4 linked regions of the Saccharomyces cerevisiae S288C genome follow. The gene in region 4 interacts genetically with the main gene of each other region. Each region holds a gene or a part of one and is shown on either strand. Other genes may lie near its edges.

Region 1 (3,820 bases), on a different chromosome or scaffold from region 4:
ATTACATTACTGATTTGTCCAACAGGCGGAAACTGGAAGGAGACACAGCGCCAGTTGCCACAGAACAGGACTACTATTCGTTCTTTATAGGAGCCTTCAACGAGCTCTTCGCCACGTATCAGCTGGAGAAGAGGCTGTCTGTCCCAAAATTGTTCATAGACACAGCCAATGGTATCGGTGGTCCACAGTTGAAAAAACTACTGGCCTCCGAAGATTGGGACGTGCCAGCGGAGCAAGTTGAGGTAATCAACGACAGGTCCGATGTTCCAGAACTGTTGAATTTTGAATGCGGTGCGGATTATGTGAAGACTAACCAGAGATTACCCAAGGGTCTTTCTCCATCCTCGTTTGATTCGCTATATTGCTCCTTTGATGGTGACGCAGACAGGGTTGTGTTCTACTATGTCGACTCAGGATCAAAATTTCATTTGTTGGATGGTGACAAAATTTCCACTTTGTTTGCAAAGTTCTTGTCTAAACAACTAGAATTGGCACACCTAGAACATTCTTTGAAGATTGGTGTTGTGCAAACTGCCTATGCAAACGGCAGTTCCACCGCTTACATAAAAAATACGTTGCACTGTCCCGTGTCTTGCACTAAGACAGGTGTTAAACACTTGCATCATGAAGCTGCCACTCAGTACGATATTGGCATTTATTTCGAAGCAAATGGACATGGTACGATTATATTCAGCGAAAAATTTCATCGAACTATCAAATCTGAATTATCCAAGTCCAAGTTAAATGGTGATACGTTAGCTTTGAGAACTTTGAAGTGTTTCTCTGAATTGATTAATCAGACCGTGGGAGATGCTATTTCAGACATGCTTGCTGTCCTTGCTACTTTGGCGATTTTGAAAATGTCGCCAATGGATTGGGATGAAGAGTATACTGATTTGCCCAACAAGCTGGTTAAGTGCATCGTTCCTGATAGGTCAATTTTCCAAACCACGGACCAGGAAAGAAAATTGCTCAATCCAGTGGGGTTGCAAGACAAGATAGATCTTGTGGTAGCCAAGTATCCCATGGGAAGAAGCTTTGTCAGAGCCAGTGGTACGGAGGATGCGGTGAGGGTTTATGCGGAATGTAAGGACTCCTCTAAGTTAGGTCAATTTTGTGACGAAGTGGTGGAGCACGTTAAGGCATCTGCTTGAAAGCATTATTCGATGTATAGTATAGCTATTTAGATATACAGAGAGATAAATGAAAGAGAAAAAATATTGGTATCAATCAACGTTTGTTACAGGCTTAGACTTTGGTTTGGTAATTGAAATTCATGGTAGTGGAAATAAACAAAATTTTCCTCTTCAATTTTTTTCGTCGTTTCGCTCTGCAATCGAAAATCAAATAATCTTCATAAAAGAAATCACTTTCAATAAATGAACTTCTCACTACCATAATGGATGATGTGGCCGATTCGAAAGCAATACGGTTGATTAACACGGAAACCCCGAGTGATAAGTCACCAAAAAAAATTCTCTTTACGATGAATGTTCCGAATTTGTTCTCCTCTTTACAGTTTTCGTTGGAAAGGTATTTATATGTAATTTCCTTCAGAATTCTCTTGTTTTCTATGTTGGCATTGTCGAGATGAACCTGTTTCAGTATGGCATTGGGAAAAAGTGTAGCTTGTAACTTTAAAACTTGATCATGCAGTGTTGCAGCTAAATTATCCAGAGTAAAAATTTCCTCTTTGGAGTAAATGCCTAGCAAGTTTTTCAGCTGACTACTCCAACCTCGCCTGGCCCTGTGCTTTCTACTTACACAATCTTTGTGATTTGGTGGTAAGGTTTTTGGAAAATGAGGAAGAGTATCTAGTTGTTGGGTAATGTTTCTTTCCAAGAATGATATTTTTTTCATTATGACGTCAATTTCTTTAGAATAAGCCGAGAACTGTACAGTTTTAAAACCCTTTCTGTTGTCATTCCTCTGAATCCCATCATTTGCCATTTAATTTTCAATTTAGTTACTAGTCAATTTTCTTTTTCGCCTTTTGTATTCCATAATATGAATATAAGCTTGGGCTTGCCGATTTTCTCCGCTTAATATTAAGCCTACGCATGATGTAGGTTACATTTTGAAGGGTTTCTTTTAACTTCCTTACTTATTTATATATGTATGAACCTACACAAGGCATTTTACCCTTATTTCTTCCCGCAACATTTGATAAAAAGTGGAAGACGTTTGTGATTGTTATTATCGCCCCAATTTTCTCCTTTTTTTCTTTTCCTTCAACGTCAATCAATTGCACATTCAGCCGATTGGCTTTCTTAGCGCAGGATAGGGTGTCGGGGATACCTGTGGGAAGTTAGTGACACTTTTTTTTCCACTCTCTTCATGGAATCCCCGGACGGCAGCCGCCCGTCCCAATTTTGGCAAAATTGACATCCTAACTGCACGAATTCTCATCGCGTATCAGAACTCTTGAGCCTTCAGTTTTACTACTCAATGCTCTGATTTATCTATATATACATAAATGAAAATAATACGTGCGCATTTATAAGACAAAAAGTTAGAATTCTGACCACGATTGCATGCTGTAGATAATTGTCGTGTTCATTCTCTCTTTAACGGCGCCTCAAGAAGAATATAAAATAATTGCTCTTGCAGTCTCAATGAGTCGGTATGTTCAAAGTGGTGCCCAACATTTACTAATATTGGACTGCGGTACAAAATCGGCGGCTAAACTGTCTACCGATAAAATACTCTTGATTTATAAGAATGAAAAAGAAAACAAAAAGGGATGACCCCTGAAAAAGTTTGTTTTCTTTACCCTTTTTTATGTTAAATTTTACATTTATTACCGTTTACGTCAATCGCAATATACAGGTGGGGCATTGTTATTTGATTTCATAATCTGGTGAGAACGTTATCACGCGGATTATTTAGTTTTTTTAAACCATGTGCGAAGAAATTCTCATATATTGTAGGCATTTCTGACTCAAACTTCTGCTGCTTAAAATAGCTGTTTTCACCTTTTTTTTCCTCTTGTTCTATTTGACATGCTCCCTTTCTTCCTCGGTCCTTTCAACCATTTCCATGCTCCTGTAGGCTCAGGAGCAGAGCGAGGAAAAAACTTCCCTACAGAAAGCTTTCATGTTTTTAACCGGTTTCCTTTCAGCTTTTTCTTTTGGAGTAATCTAGAAAGATTAGGTCATTTGTTCAGTCTATTTGATACTTGATGAGTAGCTCGTCTGTTCTGTTCAAAATAACAATTTGTGAGGTGTACGGATGTTTTCACTGGCATTCGTCGACATGACAAAGACAAACCTTGAAAATAATAATGGAGAATAACTAGAAAGACGTTACTATGCCTCTAATACTTCTGCCTCTCTTATCTCTCCTATCAATTGTGGTTAGCCTAGTAGTCACCAAATAGCAAATTACCAATCAACTATGGAAAACCAAGAGAAACCGCTTTCTGTAGACGAGGAGTACGATTTATGGAAATCCAATGTTCCATTAATGTATGACTTTGTTAGCGAGACACGTTTAACATGGCCATCTTTAACCGTCCAATGGCTCCCTACTCCTGTTCAAGAATTAGATGGTGGCTTTATTAAACAAGAATTAATCATCGGTACGCACACTTCTGGTGAAGAAGAAAACTATTTGAAATTCGCAGAAATTAATCTACCAAAGGAAATTCTTAGTAATGAAGACCCACAAGAAGAAGCAGGAGAGGAGTATCAGTCCTCTCTACCTGCTCCTAGGTCAAATATAAGGATTACCGCTAAATATGAGCACGAAGAAGAAATCACTAGAGCCCGATATATGCCTCAAGACCCTAATATTGTCGCCACAATAAATGGGCAAGGCA
Region 2 (5,061 bases), on a different chromosome or scaffold from region 4:
ATGGTAGGCAAGATCCTAAAAAACCCTTTTTCACACCATGGAAGCCAAGACCATTTTTATCGCCTTTCGCCATTTTACCTCATCATTTGGAAATATCTTTCAAGACATGCCACGCTGTATACCTAAGGGATCCCGTCGCTCGACCAGGCCAATCCGAAGTAATTTCACCATTTGATGTTCCTGTTCATGAACGTGCATATATGTATTACTTGAGAAATGGTAAATGATCGTCGTGTATTGTTGCACGCGTCTTTTGACTGATCTTCAGCCTCTCTTTACACTGTAAATATTTAATTTTTTTTGTTTTTAAGTTCTACTCGAACGATCAAGTAGTCACTTAGTCGCTCCTCGTTTTCCTGTTACTTCTTTAAGAAAAGGTTACACATGAAAAAAAGGTTTTACAAAAAGTATATAATTGTTTATTCATTCACTTTTCTTTCTGATTGATTCAAATGTGATTTATTTCTTTTAACTAAATACAATTAATGCTCCTCGCAATATTAACCAGCATGTTCGAAAACAGCAGATTTGAACTTACCATCAGCGAAGCTATGCTTCATCTGTTCAGGGATTGGGAATTCTACGTAATCATCGTCCTCGCCGATTGGTAAGTTGACGTTAATAGCAGTTGAGCACGAGGTGTAGATTTCAGTATTCAAGGATTCCTTGGATAAATAGATGTTACCGCCGTCAGATTTATCAATGGAGATTTGAGGTAGGGAATGGTTAACTTGAATGCCAAACTTGTTGGATTTGATGACATCCATACCGGAAATGCTAGAATCAAGAACAACACTGCATGACTCAGTTTCACTCAACGAGATAGCGTTAACTTTTCCTTTTATTTGAACAAGAACTTGAGAACATTTACCTATGAAGATAGACTCATCTTTATTTGCATCAATAACCAGAGATTCAGTTTCATTTTCGTAATTCTCAATAAACCATTTGTTTCCTACCAATTCCTTTCTAGGAGGCCTCTTAGTTTTCAATGTTGATGGCTTTTTTGGCCTTGGTGGTGGACCGGATTTACTTCCTGTGGAAGAAACTGTAGAGGATTGACGTAATTCAGGATTTTTGTGAGTTTGTTGGGATTTGTCTACTTTTTTCAAACCCTTAGTGATATTTTCACCCTGATTTAGTTCGGCGAAGACCGCGCCAATACCGCCTTTGTTAGCATCACTACTCGTTGCTGGTGTATCATTAGAGATTTCAAAGACGGAAGCTGGTGGGGCTGGTGGAGGAGGTGGTGGTGCTGGAGCCGCTGTAGCACTTGCTGGCGAAGGAGATGAAGTAGCACCTGTATTCTTCGTTGATTGTGCCATCGCGTCAGCAAAATCCATACCGTCTTTTTTCCAGGAAACCCCAGTAGTATGATACTCTTTAATGTAGGCTTTCAAATTATCGAAAGAGGCCAAAAATTTCTTAACCCATTCAACAGCATTAGGATCAGACTCTCTGTATTCTTTCAAAATTCTATTAGTCCAAAACTGTGCTGCGTCCTTGAAATCTGTGACCATAGACACGGGAGTGTCCACTGCAACCCAGGAGAACAAAGGAGCACCCTCAGATAAAGCGCTCAAATATGCGAAGTATTTGCTTTGACGGTTTGATTCCTTCAATTGACCCAGCTTTATAATATTTTCGTTGATAGGTCTTAAAGAATCAGCGAAAGTTTGAGAAGAATAATCCGGTTTTCTTGATCTCACAGCAGCTCTTAAAAAAGTCAATTGCGATTGAAAGCCTCCCTTTAGCAACTGCAAAGCATCTAAGACCACCGTGTCGATCTTTCCTGATAATTCTACCAGCGGATCAATATTCTCACCGATGTAAGATTGGAACGCAGTTATGCATTTCGGATCTTGTTCTACTTCAGGAGCATTTTCTGCAGAAGGTTCATTCGTAGTATTCGCATCGGCCCCGGAGTCGGAAGGCTTGTTATTTTTAGATGCCTCCAATTTATTCTGAATATAACCTTCTTGATAGATGGTGACATCCTCTAATCTTGCAGTGGCTTCTTCTAGCCTTTTTAATAGCTTAACAAGGTTATAACCTTGCATTGTGTACTTAGAGTCAGGCATGATTCGATTTCACACGGTTGCAACTTGGCCTACTCAATTACGAAAAGTTTCAAGCTGAGTTTTCCCCTATACTACCAAAAGATTTCACTTCTAAATCCCTGTTTATGACTTCACGCGACATGTATAGATCATTTTAAACGATATGAATTGTATACTGTCCCAACATTTTATATCTTTATATAAACATCAAGGTTAATAATGTTCGACAGTTACTAGAATCAATGCCTAAAAGGTTACTGACTGAGTGTGATCTCTACCATAAATCTTGAGAACGACATACGAGGCGTAATTTTATGTAAAAATTATTTATGGATGTGGCTTCAACGTCCTACCTCTCTTCTCGTAAGTAGGCTTTATAGCCAGGGGACATGGATTTCAGGAGGTGAATACGAGTGTCACGTATACTAAGGTCTCCTCGGCTCAATGAAACGTACTCCAAAGATGCGGAGTGGCCTTGTAATGTATTTAGTGTATCGTTTCTCACATTTCTCTGCCACTGTTCTCGTGTAGTGCTCTCATCTCCCAGTCCGATGTACTTTTGTTTGTATATCTTCTGCAACTTCAACTGCCTCTGCTTTTCCGCCTGTTTTGAGTATTAGCATTACGTATAAGCCGCACGGACTTGCACGATTCATCGCAAGCGTAGTTAGTACCATGGTAAAGATGATTTCAATTCAAACTAAAGCGCAATAGAACGTAACATACCATTTCTTTTCTTAATTTCACTGTTTCGAATTGTGTAATATAACCATTTTAGCCACTATTTACATGTTCTGAATGAGAAGGCTTATGTTCTTCTCTTCTTCCCGGGTGACAACGCTAACTTCGGCGTAAGATTTTCCGCTATTTCTTCAATAGCGACATAACGTATGAGAGTTTATGCCCAGGGAACACGTTGATTTAGAAGCAAACACTGTTGCATAAATTATAGGGCTGTGATTTTATCGTCTTTATCTAAAGCATAATAGGGTGAAACGGTTTCAGTTGATACATATTCGCACCAGTATACATTTTCAGGACTTTATGGCAGAACAGACGCTACTTTCCAAATTGAACGCTCTTTCTCAAAAAGTGATACCACCAGCTTCCCCTAGTCAGGCAAGCATTTTAACGGAAGAGGTGATACGAAACTGGCCTGAACGATCAAAAACTCTCTGCTCCGATTTCACTGCACTGGAGTCAAATGATGAAAAGGAAGACTGGTTGAGGACTTTGTTTATTGAACTGTTTGATTTCATAAATAAAAACGATGAAAATTCTCCCCTCAAGCTTTCTGATGTTGCATCATTTACTAATGAATTAGTGAATCATGAAAGGCAAGTGTCCCAGGCTTCCATAGTTGGTAAAATGTTTATCGCCGTCTCAAGCACTGTTCCAAATATAAATGATCTAACAACCATATCATTATGTAAACTAATACCGTCGTTGCATGAAGAATTGTTCAAATTTAGTTGGATATCCTCTAAGCTGCTCAACAAGGAACAAACCACCTTATTAAGGCATTTGTTAAAAAAGTCAAAATACGAACTGAAGAAATATAACCTTTTGGTAGAAAATTCAGTGGGTTATGGTCAATTGGTAGCCTTATTAATATTGGCGTATTATGATCCCGACAATTTTTCCAAAGTGTCCGCATATTTGAAAGAAATCTATCATATTATGGGGAAATATTCCTTGGATTCTATTCGTACTTTAGATGTTATTTTGAACGTTTCTAGTCAGTTTATCACTGAAGGGTACAAGTTCTTTATTGCTCTTTTACGAAAGTCGGATTCTTGGCCATCTAGCCATGTAGCTAACAATTCCAATTATTCTTCTCTTAATGAAGGCGGTAATATGATTGCAGCAAACATTATTTCATTCAATTTATCGCAATATAACGAAGAAGTCGATAAGGAAAACTATGAACGGTATATGGATATGTGTTGCATTTTACTGAAAAATGGGTTTGTCAATTTTTATTCTATTTGGGATAACGTTAAACCAGAGATGGAATTTCTACAAGAATATATTCAAAACTTAGAAACTGAACTGGAAGAGGAGTCCACTAAAGGCGTAGAAAATCCCTTGGCTATGGCAGCTGCTTTGTCCACTGAAAATGAAACTGACGAAGACAACGCCCTTGTTGTAAATGATGATGTTAATATGAAGGATAAAATCTCTGAGGAAACAAACGCTGATATAGAATCAAAAGGCAAGCAGAAAACTCAGCAAGATATTTTATTATTTGGTAAAATAAAACTCTTGGAACGCTTACTCATACATGGTTGCGTTATTCCCGTGATACATGTGTTAAAGCAATATCCGAAAGTGTTATATGTTAGTGAATCCTTATCTAGATATTTGGGAAGAGTATTTGAATATCTTTTAAATCCATTGTACACATCAATGACCTCATCTGGTGAATCAAAAGATATGGCAACTGCTTTGATGATAACCCGTATAGATAATGGTATTCTAGCCCATAAGCCAAGGTTGATCCATAAATATAAAACTCACGAGCCATTTGAATCCCTTGAATTGAATTCAAGCTACGTCTTCTATTACAGCGAGTGGAATTCCAATTTGACTCCTTTTGCTTCTGTAAATGATCTATTTGAAAACTCGCATATCTATTTATCTATCATAGGACCGTATTTGGGGAGAATTCCTACGCTTTTGAGTAAGATTTCACGTATTGGGGTAGCTGACATTCAAAAGAACCACGGTTCTGAGTCTCTGCATGTTACGATTGATAAGTGGATAGACTATGTAAGAAAATTCATTTTTCCAGCTACCTCGCTATTGCAGAACAATCCAATTGCCACATCGGAAGTTTACGAACTAATGAAATTTTTCCCTTTTGAAAAAAGATATTTTATTTACAACGAAATGATGACGAAATTATCCCAAGATATTCTACCGCTTAAGGTGAGCTTCAATAAGGCCGAAAGAGAAGCGAAGAGTATTTTGAAGGCTTTGAGTATAGATACAATCGCAA
Region 3 (3,438 bases), on a different chromosome or scaffold from region 4:
GCAAGCAACACTGTGTACGGTACAAACAGAAACGACACATATTTCACGTCGCCCTTAGACGCCAGTGCTATCAAGGGGAGATGAAATAACTCCGTCTTACCATAGCCCGGTGGGGCCTGTACTGCCACAGAGGGTGTGTCTGCCATGTATATTTCATGACATAAGCGCAACTGATGCAAGTCCCTGAATTCAAAGGAGCTGCCAAAGAGTTTCTGGCCTGCGACGAGGATATCGTTTGTACTCTTGGGCTCTCGGGGCCTTTTTCGCGTTACTCTTGAAATTTTTTGATCATGATCTGAACTCGCCGCCTCACCTGCCACTACGTCTTCCGCATTCCGAGTACTAGAGAATGAACAATGGTAGTCGCTTTCAAGGCCTAACCATTGAATCCAGCGCTCGGAAGTGAGTCCGTCAAGCGTCTTTAGTCGAGGCTCCGATGAACCGTTCTTGTTGTATCGTCGACGTATACGTTGCGCTGTAGCTCTGGATAACGGTAAGCGTATCACCGTAAGCTCGTCAATTATTTTTGAGAGCCGCGGTCATTTTGTTAGTATCTCTTCTCAACTTGGGCAGCACACATGCAAAACATCACCCAATCGGTCCTTTTTGTTCATCATATCGTTACATATCTGTGAAAAGTACTTTATCTCAATGGGTTTACGTGGGCATAGATCACGCTTCAGCCGCTCTGTGTCGACTTTCTTTTCGCCAGGTAAACTTGCTTGGTATGCAGAAAAAATCGATAGCTCATCTACGTGTAGTAACAAAAACATGTGGGGTGCCAAATTGTACCCATATCTCCTTATGGTGCTTTTCTGAAGACTCCTTACAATAGGTGCGCCAGAAACAAAGTCAGTGAAAGTACGCATCGTAGAGCTGTCGTTCGGCCTGGCACTCGCTATTTCGTGACAACGTTCCAGGACACGGAAACTCAACTCATTATAGTATCCTCTGTTGAGGTAAAAAAGAGAAAGGGTATCGTAATCCTTTCTATTGAATTTCAAAGTATGCACTTGAAACAACGTGTAGACCATCAAGTTGATTTTCTTGGGAATAAGATACTTTGAAGGGATTGGTCCGCCCTGGAAATCTGGTTCGTCTTCAACAAACGTCAGGAACTTTTGTACATTTTTCCCGACCATGACGGAAACGACAATTTTTTCAAAAGACCTTTTCCTATCCATTGCACCAGTTCTGAATTTTACCACTTTGATTAGGCCAGACTTTTCGTCTTCGTAGAATGACCGCACTTCCGTGGGGATCGATTCAAATAAAGTTATTGAGGGACAATGTACCAAGTCGTTTTTGTTATTTAGAGCCGACTCAAACTCGTCAAAGTTTGCTTTTTCAAACTTACGCCTATCGGAAACTTTCATTTTATTTTTGTAAGTTTCGAAATTAACAATAGTATGTTGATTGTTATGCTTTTTGACAAGAAATCCATCAATATAAACAAAAGATTGTCCAGTTTCCGTCTTATCATCATCTAAGAATGTAATAATTAAGCTACTCTATTGAGAAGAAGCAGAATCTGCGCTATGCAGGTGCAAATCTCCAGCAGCAGCAAAGAAAATTCAGTTAATAAGAAATCTCACTAAGATAAGCGACTGTCTGTCCCAACATAGAAAACAGAAGGATGTCTCATTCATCCTTGATTTCCGGCCTGCAAAAATAAAGTAGTCGGTACGTACGTTCGTTTTCAATTTCCATGGTGCACAGTATCTTAACTATCTGCTTAGTCGAGGAGAACCAGGATTCTGTTCGTTGCTCAGCCGCTTCGTGGATATTCTCTTGGATACTTTAAATATGGACCTACGCTTAGCCTGCGCTTAGCCTACAACTTCTTCCGCTCTCGAAAAGACCAATATAATAGAAAGTTATAAATTACATTTCCTTATTAGGTATACGACCTCGCGCTTCGAAGTAGAGGAGCCCTTTTTGGCGTACCTACATATGGCGCGTCAGACAGACAAACTTCCCCCAAAAATGTATTACCCTGCCGAATAAGAAAACAGACCCATTCACCCACGACGTATCAAGTTACTTCCTTGGTGCAATGTCCCACTATAAAAAAATTCCTTGACGCTAGATCGTTGGACTAAAATCTGCGTCACAATCGCCTAAACAGGAAATATTGCCTATTTTCGTACAAGGTTACTTCCTAGATGCTATATGTCCCTACGGCCTTGTCTAACACCATCCAGCATGCAATACAGTGACATATATATACACCACACCCACACACCACACCCACACCACACCCACACCCACACACACCACACACCCACACACTCTCTTACATCTACCTTTACTCTCGCTGTCACACCTTACCCGGCTTTCTGACCGAAATTAAAAAAAATGAAAATGAAACCCTCTTCTTTAGCCCTACAACACTTTTACATAGCCCTAAGTAGCCCTCATGTACGTCTCCTCCAAGCCCTGTTGTCTCTTACCCGGATGTTCAACCAAAAGCTACTTACTACCTTTATTTTATGTTTACTTTTTATAGATTGTCTTTTTATCCTACTCTTTCCCACTTGTCTCTCGCTACTGCCGTGCAACAAACACTAAATCAAAACAGTGAAATACTACTACATCAAAACGCATATTCCCTAGAAAAAAAAATTTCTTACAATATACTATACTACACAATACATAATCACTGACTTTCGTAACAACAATTTCCTTCACTCTCCAACTTCTCTGCTCGAATCTCTACATAGTAATATTATATCAAATCTACCGTCTGGAACATCATCGCTATCCAGCTCTTTGTGAACCGCTACCATCAGCATGTACAGCGGTACCCTCGTGTTATCTGCAGCGAGAACTTCAACGTTTGCCAAATCAACCCAATGTGGTAACAACCACACCTCCGAAATCTGCTCCAAAAGATATTCCAGTTTCTGCCGAAATGTTTTATTGTAGAACAGCCCTATCAGCATCGACAGGAATGCCGTCCAATGCGGCACTTTAGATGGGGTAACTCCCAGCGCAAGCTGATCTCGCAAGTGCATTCCTAGACTTAATTCATATCTGCTCCTCAACTGTCGATGATGCCTGCTAAACTGCAGCTTGACGTACTGCGGACCCTGCAGTCCAGCGCTCGTCATGGAACGCAAACGCTGAAAAACTCCAACTTTCTCGAGCGCTTCCACAAAGACCGTATCGTCTTTTGCCTCCCATTCTTCCCGGCACTTTTTCTCGTCCCAGTTCAAAAAGTACTGCAGCACCTCTGTCTTCGATTCACGCAAGTTGCTCCATACTTTATAATACAACTCTTTGATCTGCCTTCCAGACATGCGGAAAACTTGGCTCCCTTGCTTGCCTCTTGTCGAATCCAATACACTAATTGTTTCTCTTCTTCTAGTAATGGCCAGGTACCAAGCATAATTTCTCTGTATCTGAGAGTAGATCTCTCCCCTTTTTACGCTAAAA
Region 4 (5,402 bases):
TTTATTGAATCTATTGCATAACCCTGTAAAAGCCATAAAATACATAAAAAGTTTACCAATTGATGAAACCCTAAGATGCCTTGTGACGTACTCGAAAAAATTACTGGAGGAGTCACCGAATGAAACTAATGCTTTACTGATAGAAGTATTTACAGGGAAGTTCAAACCATCCACTTTTGAAGTGGATCTGGACCGGAGAGATACGACGGGCGATTTTTCTGAAAATATTAGAACAGTTTTTTACAGTTACAAAACATTCTTCAACTACATGAACTCAAATGGTACATCAGACGCAATGAGCGAGTCTTCAGAGGCATCCCACGAACATGAAGAGCCTACTTATCATCCGCCGAAGCCATCCATTGTTTTCAGTTCATTCGTTACAAAACCTTTTGAATTTGTTGTTTTCTTAGAAGCCTGTTTGGCATGTTACCAGCAGTATGAGGGTTTTGACGAAGATAGGCAAGTAATTTTGACTACTTTATATGACTTATATTTGAATTTGGCGCAAAATGATGTACCCGAGCGTATAGACGACTGGCGTTCAAGAGCAACTGGCGTATTGCGTGAGAGCAATAAATTGGTGTATTCTGCCGCAAGTAATAATACTAGCAAAAGGGTGGATAACTCAATAATGCTGTTAATTTCCCATATGGATCAAAGTAGTGCTTCAGCAAAAGATAAGACGAAAATTGACATAGCTTCATTTGCCAATGATAACCCCGAGATGGATTTGCTGAGTACATTTAGGGCTATGACGTTAAATGAAGAACCAAGTACTTGTCTCAAATTCCTAGAAAAATATGGCACAGAGGAACCCAAGCTCTTACAAGTAGCATTGAGTTACTTTGTTTCTAATAAACTAATCTTCAAGGAGATGGGCGGTAATGAAGTACTGAAAGAAAAAGTATTGAGGCCAATTATAGAGGGGGAAAGAATGCCACTGTTGGATATAATTAAAGCGCTATCCCGTACAAATGTAGCCCACTTTGGGCTGATACAAGACATCATTATTGATCATGTCAAAACCGAAGATACAGAAATCAAAAGGAACGAAAAACTAATTGAATCTTACGATAAAGAGTTAAAGGAGAAAAACAAGAAGTTGAAGAACACCATTAATTCAGATCAACCTCTCCACGTACCCCTGAAGAATCAAACGTGTTTCATGTGTAGACTGACATTGGATATTCCTGTAGTTTTTTTTAAATGTGGTCACATTTACCACCAACATTGTCTAAATGAGGAAGAAGATACTCTAGAAAGCGAGAGAAAGCTCTTTAAATGTCCCAAATGCTTGGTGGACTTAGAAACCTCCAACAAACTTTTTGAAGCTCAACACGAAGTAGTTGAAAAGAATGATCTTTTGAATTTTGCATTAAACAGTGAAGAAGGTAGTAGAGACCGTTTCAAAGTCATAACAGAGTTTTTAGGTAGAGGTGCCATCAGTTATTCTGACATCACTATTTAATGATGGATCATAACGATCTATTGTCGCCGCCGCGTCACAAATGCGCCCCGAACTTGTCGCGAAGTTAATCTGAAACATATATGTTACCTACTGAAACAGCGCATGTTGGAAAAGACAAAGGTGAAGACGAAGTTGTATATTTAAGATAGACCCTTTATACATCCTTTTGAAAAAATTATTAATGTGGCAACCGTCTTTTATTTGACAAAGTATCTTTTTTCTTTGTGAAACCAATTTTAGGTTTTCTTGTTATAGTAAGTTCTTAAGAAAAAGACAAGAAAACCCCTTGCGATGTTTAAGACTTCATATAACTTGTACGATTTGAACTATCCGAAAAATGATTCATTAACGCCAATAAGAGACTACAAAAATGACTATTTTCATAAAAATGATGACAAATTACCAGAAATTGTTAGAAAACCTACGAGAAAGTTATCGAAACATGAAAACAAACTCAACGATAAAAAATTCACGAATAAACGACCAGCAAGTCTGGACTTGCATTCTATAGTGGAGAGCCTGAGCAATAAAAAAATTTACTCTCCTATTAACACAGAGATATTTCAAAATGTCGTGAGACTGAATTTGAGCCCTCAGATTCCCAATTCTCCTCACGAGGGATGCAAATTTTATAAAATCGTACAGGAGTTTTACCTCTCTGAAGTGGAATATTACAATAATTTGTTAACCGCAAATAACGTATACAGAAAGGCATTGAATAGTGATCCAAGATTCAAGAATAAACTTGTCAAGCTTGATTCAAGTGACGAGCTATTGCTTTTTGGGAACATTGACACTATTGCGTCAATCAGCAAAATACTGGTAACGGCAATAAAAGACCTACTTTTAGCCAAGCAACGTGGGAAAATGTTGGATGCGAATGAATGGCAAAAGATATTCACCAAAAATGAGGTACAACAGCAGCTATATTCAACTTTTGATATTTCAGAGGCGTTCGAGCAACATTTGTTAAGAATCAAATCCACCTACACAAGCTATTTTGTTAGCCACCAAAAACAAATGGAACTATTTACTACATTAAGGATGAATAAGAATCATTTTTTTAACAAGTGGTATGAATATTGTTTAAAAGAGAGTGGATGTATAAAGTTAGAGGACATATTGAAAAGCCCGATGAAAAGACTGACTCAGTGGATTGATACTTTGGAAACTTTGGAAAGCTGTTACGAAGATATTCTTTCGCCAGAATTGGGCTTGAAACTAAGCCCGACAAGAAGAAAATATTCTTTATTTTCCAATAAGTTAGAAACCGAGGTCTCCGAGTATAAGAGTAATTCCATGTATAATTTCAGTTTAACCCCATCAGAGATTATACAAAGTTATGATGAAGATCAGTTTACACACCTTTTAAAACCCCCAGACAAACAAAATAAAAATATATGTAATGCATCTCGACAAGAGAGTAATTTGGATAATAGTAGAGTTCCTTCTCTTCTTTCTGGATCATCGAGTTACTACTCAGATGTATCAGGGCTAGAAATTGTCACTAATACTTCAACTGCCTCAGCTGAGATGATAAATCTAAAAATGGATGAAGAAACAGAATTTTTTACATTGGCAGATCACATCAGTAAATTCAAGAAAGTAATGAAAGGTTTGTTAGAATTAAAAAAGAATTTATTGAAAAACGATCTGTCAGGCATTATTGATATCAGTTTAAGAAGAATAAATGCATGGAAAAAGGTGATCGAGTGCGAACGCCCTTCTGGTGCATTTTTTGCGCACGATAACTTAATATCGACCATGTGTTCTTCGTACATAGATAAACTGCATGAACAAAAAAATCAAGTAACAATTTTGAAACTCACAGAGCTCGAAACAGATGTGATGAACCCACTTGAAAGAATCATAGCCCATTGTACTACCGTTAAAAGCAAACTAAAAGATTTGCAAGCTTTGAAGAAAGATTACATGTTATTTTTACAAGAAAAAAAAGCAAATGTGCGAGATATTAAACGTGACTTGTTGGGAATGCATTTCCAAAACCTGCAAAACCAGATGAAAAGGGAATTACCGGTCTTTATTACTTTGATCCACGATACTATCGAATGTATCTTGTTGAACTATATCAAAGTCTTCTTAAAATATTTGGAAATCATTGCTGGTGGAAAAAAATACCTGCAAAAAGATCTTGAAAATATGTCTCTTAATGACTCTATAGCTACCGGCCAAATTAAAAATCTTGATATTTTGCAGTGTTATTCTAAATCACGATATATGACAAAACGCATGGTAAGAAAAGATTGGCCTTTCCCTGGAGACCCTAGTGGAAGCCGTGTTGTCAGAAAACTTTTCGAACTTTAACAAAAGAGTATATTTAGCTTATAGTTTTTAGAATGTTTTGTTTTCTTTTTTATTAAAGTAGTACTACTGCGCTGGAGCAGTATATATGTTGAACTATAGTCAGTCACCTATAATTTGTTTGCTGGCGCGAAGGAGAAAGAAAATTTTAATTAATTCATGAAAAGCCTTAAGAAAAAGTTTAAGAGGAAATGAGCAAATAGAAGGCAAATAGAGGGTGAAAGCATTATGGCCGACATCAATAAATATATTCCGATGGTTGACGCTATTTTGAGCGTATCCAACCCCGATGAAATAAGCCCAAAAAGGGTGAGGAAAGCCCTGCAAATTCTCTATTCAGTTAATTTGGATTCACAAAGAAAGTTAATTAATGAATTGATTCTTGAGAGGTTCGGCGATATACAAGAAAACCCAAGAGTCTTAATTCCGAAGAACGACCTCATTAGTCGGGATCAAGAACTATCTTTGAGGTTACAGAAGGAAGAAGAAAGACCCTTGAGGTCTACGAGGAAAAGGAAAGGTAAAAGTGAAAGTAAATCTAAAAGGAAGAAGAAAAAGAATGATAGTCCTGATTCCAACAGCATTTCCGTCCGCAAAGTTCTGTTGTCAGCTCCTTTACAAAAGTTTCTAGGATCTGAAGAACTGCCACGAACGCAAGTAGTGAAGATGATATGGCAGTATATCAAAGAGCATGATCTTCAAAACCCAAAAGATCGTAGAGAAATTCTATGCGATGAGAAGATGGAACCAATTTTTGGCAAAAAAATGACGATGTTTTCAATGAATAAACTCTTAACTAAGCACTTGTTTAATCCCGATGAAATTGTGAAACATGAAGAGGAACAAAAGCAAACACCCGAAAAAGAAATCAAATTGGAAAACGAATCTCTTCCCAATTTAAGCGGTTGATCTTGGCTGTAGCACTTATACAAATTTAATGATTTTTTTTCCTCTTTGATGACATGTATAAAGCACACTGCACCTACTGTATTGTACTTGAAACAGGTAAATTAACAATTAATGTAGCATTAGTAATAAATAATTTCACTTCACGGCGTTAAAGAAATACTATGGCAAATTCGATTTGAGAATTTCGTCAAATTCTGATGATATCAATTAATGGCATATTTTTTTTATTTTTTATCTGGAGAAAAAAATGTAAAAATGACAGCAGCATCAACAATGAATAAAAGCAAGTACAATAGTCGTAAAGATCTATATTAATTTCATGGCAGCACAATAATACACGTTGTTTAAATTAGTTAAAGTGTCACTCCTTGCTTATCGAAGGAACTATCGATTCCTAATTATGGCAAGGCAAGGGAACTTCTACGCGGTTAGAAAGGGCAGGGAAACTGGGATCTATAATACATGGAATGAATGTAAAAACCAAGTTGATGGTTATGGTGGTGCAATTTATAAAAAATTTAACAGCTACGAGCAAGCGAAATCTTTCCTAGGTCAACCAAATACTACATCAAACTATGGAAGTTCAACGCATGCTGGAGGGCAAGTTAGTAAACCTCATACCACTCAAAAGCGAGTTCATCGAAGGAATCGGCCACTTCATTATTCCTCCTTGACATCGTCATCAGCATGTTCATCTTTA

Evidence for each region.
Region 1: mutations in FUS2 (region 4) and SDD1 together harm fitness more than expected from each alone (negative genetic interaction), as found in Saccharomyces cerevisiae (one large-scale study listed by BioGRID).
Region 2: mutations in FUS2 (region 4) and SRV2 together harm fitness more than expected from each alone (negative genetic interaction), as found in Saccharomyces cerevisiae (one large-scale study listed by BioGRID).
Region 3: mutations in FUS2 (region 4) and YLL066W-B together harm fitness more than expected from each alone (negative genetic interaction), as found in Saccharomyces cerevisiae (one large-scale study listed by BioGRID).

Annotation. Positions count from the first base shown.
Region 1 is NC_001137.3:43,772-47,591, forward strand, and holds SDD1 (Sdd1p), read right to left. Parts: upstream 1,951-3,820; coding exon 1,249-1,950; downstream 1-1,248. Other genes in the region: phosphoacetylglucosamine mutase PCM1, read left to right, coding at 1-1,154; HAT2 (Hat2p), read left to right, coding at 3,397-3,820. UniProt on the Saccharomyces cerevisiae protein: Acts as an endogenous target of the ribosome quality control (RQC) pathway. During translation, the nascent chain has a propensity to stall ribosomes, thereby stimulating activation of the RQC pathway.
Region 2 is NC_001146.8:363,761-368,821, reverse strand, and holds SRV2 (adenylate cyclase-binding protein), read right to left. Parts: upstream 2,082-5,061; coding exon 501-2,081; downstream 1-500. Other genes in the region: mitochondrial 37S ribosomal protein uS4m NAM9, read left to right, coding at 1-227; U2 snRNP complex subunit YSF3, read right to left, coding at 2,410-2,664, 2,787-2,789; THO2 (Tho2p), read left to right, coding at 3,105-5,061. UniProt on the Saccharomyces cerevisiae protein: The N-terminal domain binds to adenylyl cyclase, thereby enabling adenylyl cyclase to be activated by upstream regulatory signals, such as Ras. The C-terminal domain is required for normal cellular morphology and growth control.
Region 3 is NC_001144.5:3,433-6,870, forward strand, and holds YLL066W-B (uncharacterized protein), read left to right. Parts: upstream 1-2,172; coding exon 2,173-2,343; downstream 2,344-3,438. Other genes in the region: YLL067C (Y' element ATP-dependent helicase), read right to left, coding at 1-483, 583-869; YLL066C (Y' element ATP-dependent helicase), read right to left, coding at 2,688-3,438.
Region 4 is NC_001145.3:735,164-740,565, forward strand, and holds FUS2 (Fus2p), read left to right. Parts: upstream 1-1,762; coding exon 1,763-3,796; downstream 3,797-5,402. Other genes in the region: tethering complex subunit PEP5, read left to right, coding at 1-1,471; TRI1 (Tri1p), read left to right, coding at 4,022-4,702; RNH1 (RNA-DNA hybrid ribonuclease), read left to right, coding at 5,103-5,402. UniProt on the Saccharomyces cerevisiae protein: Promotes cell fusion during zygote formation.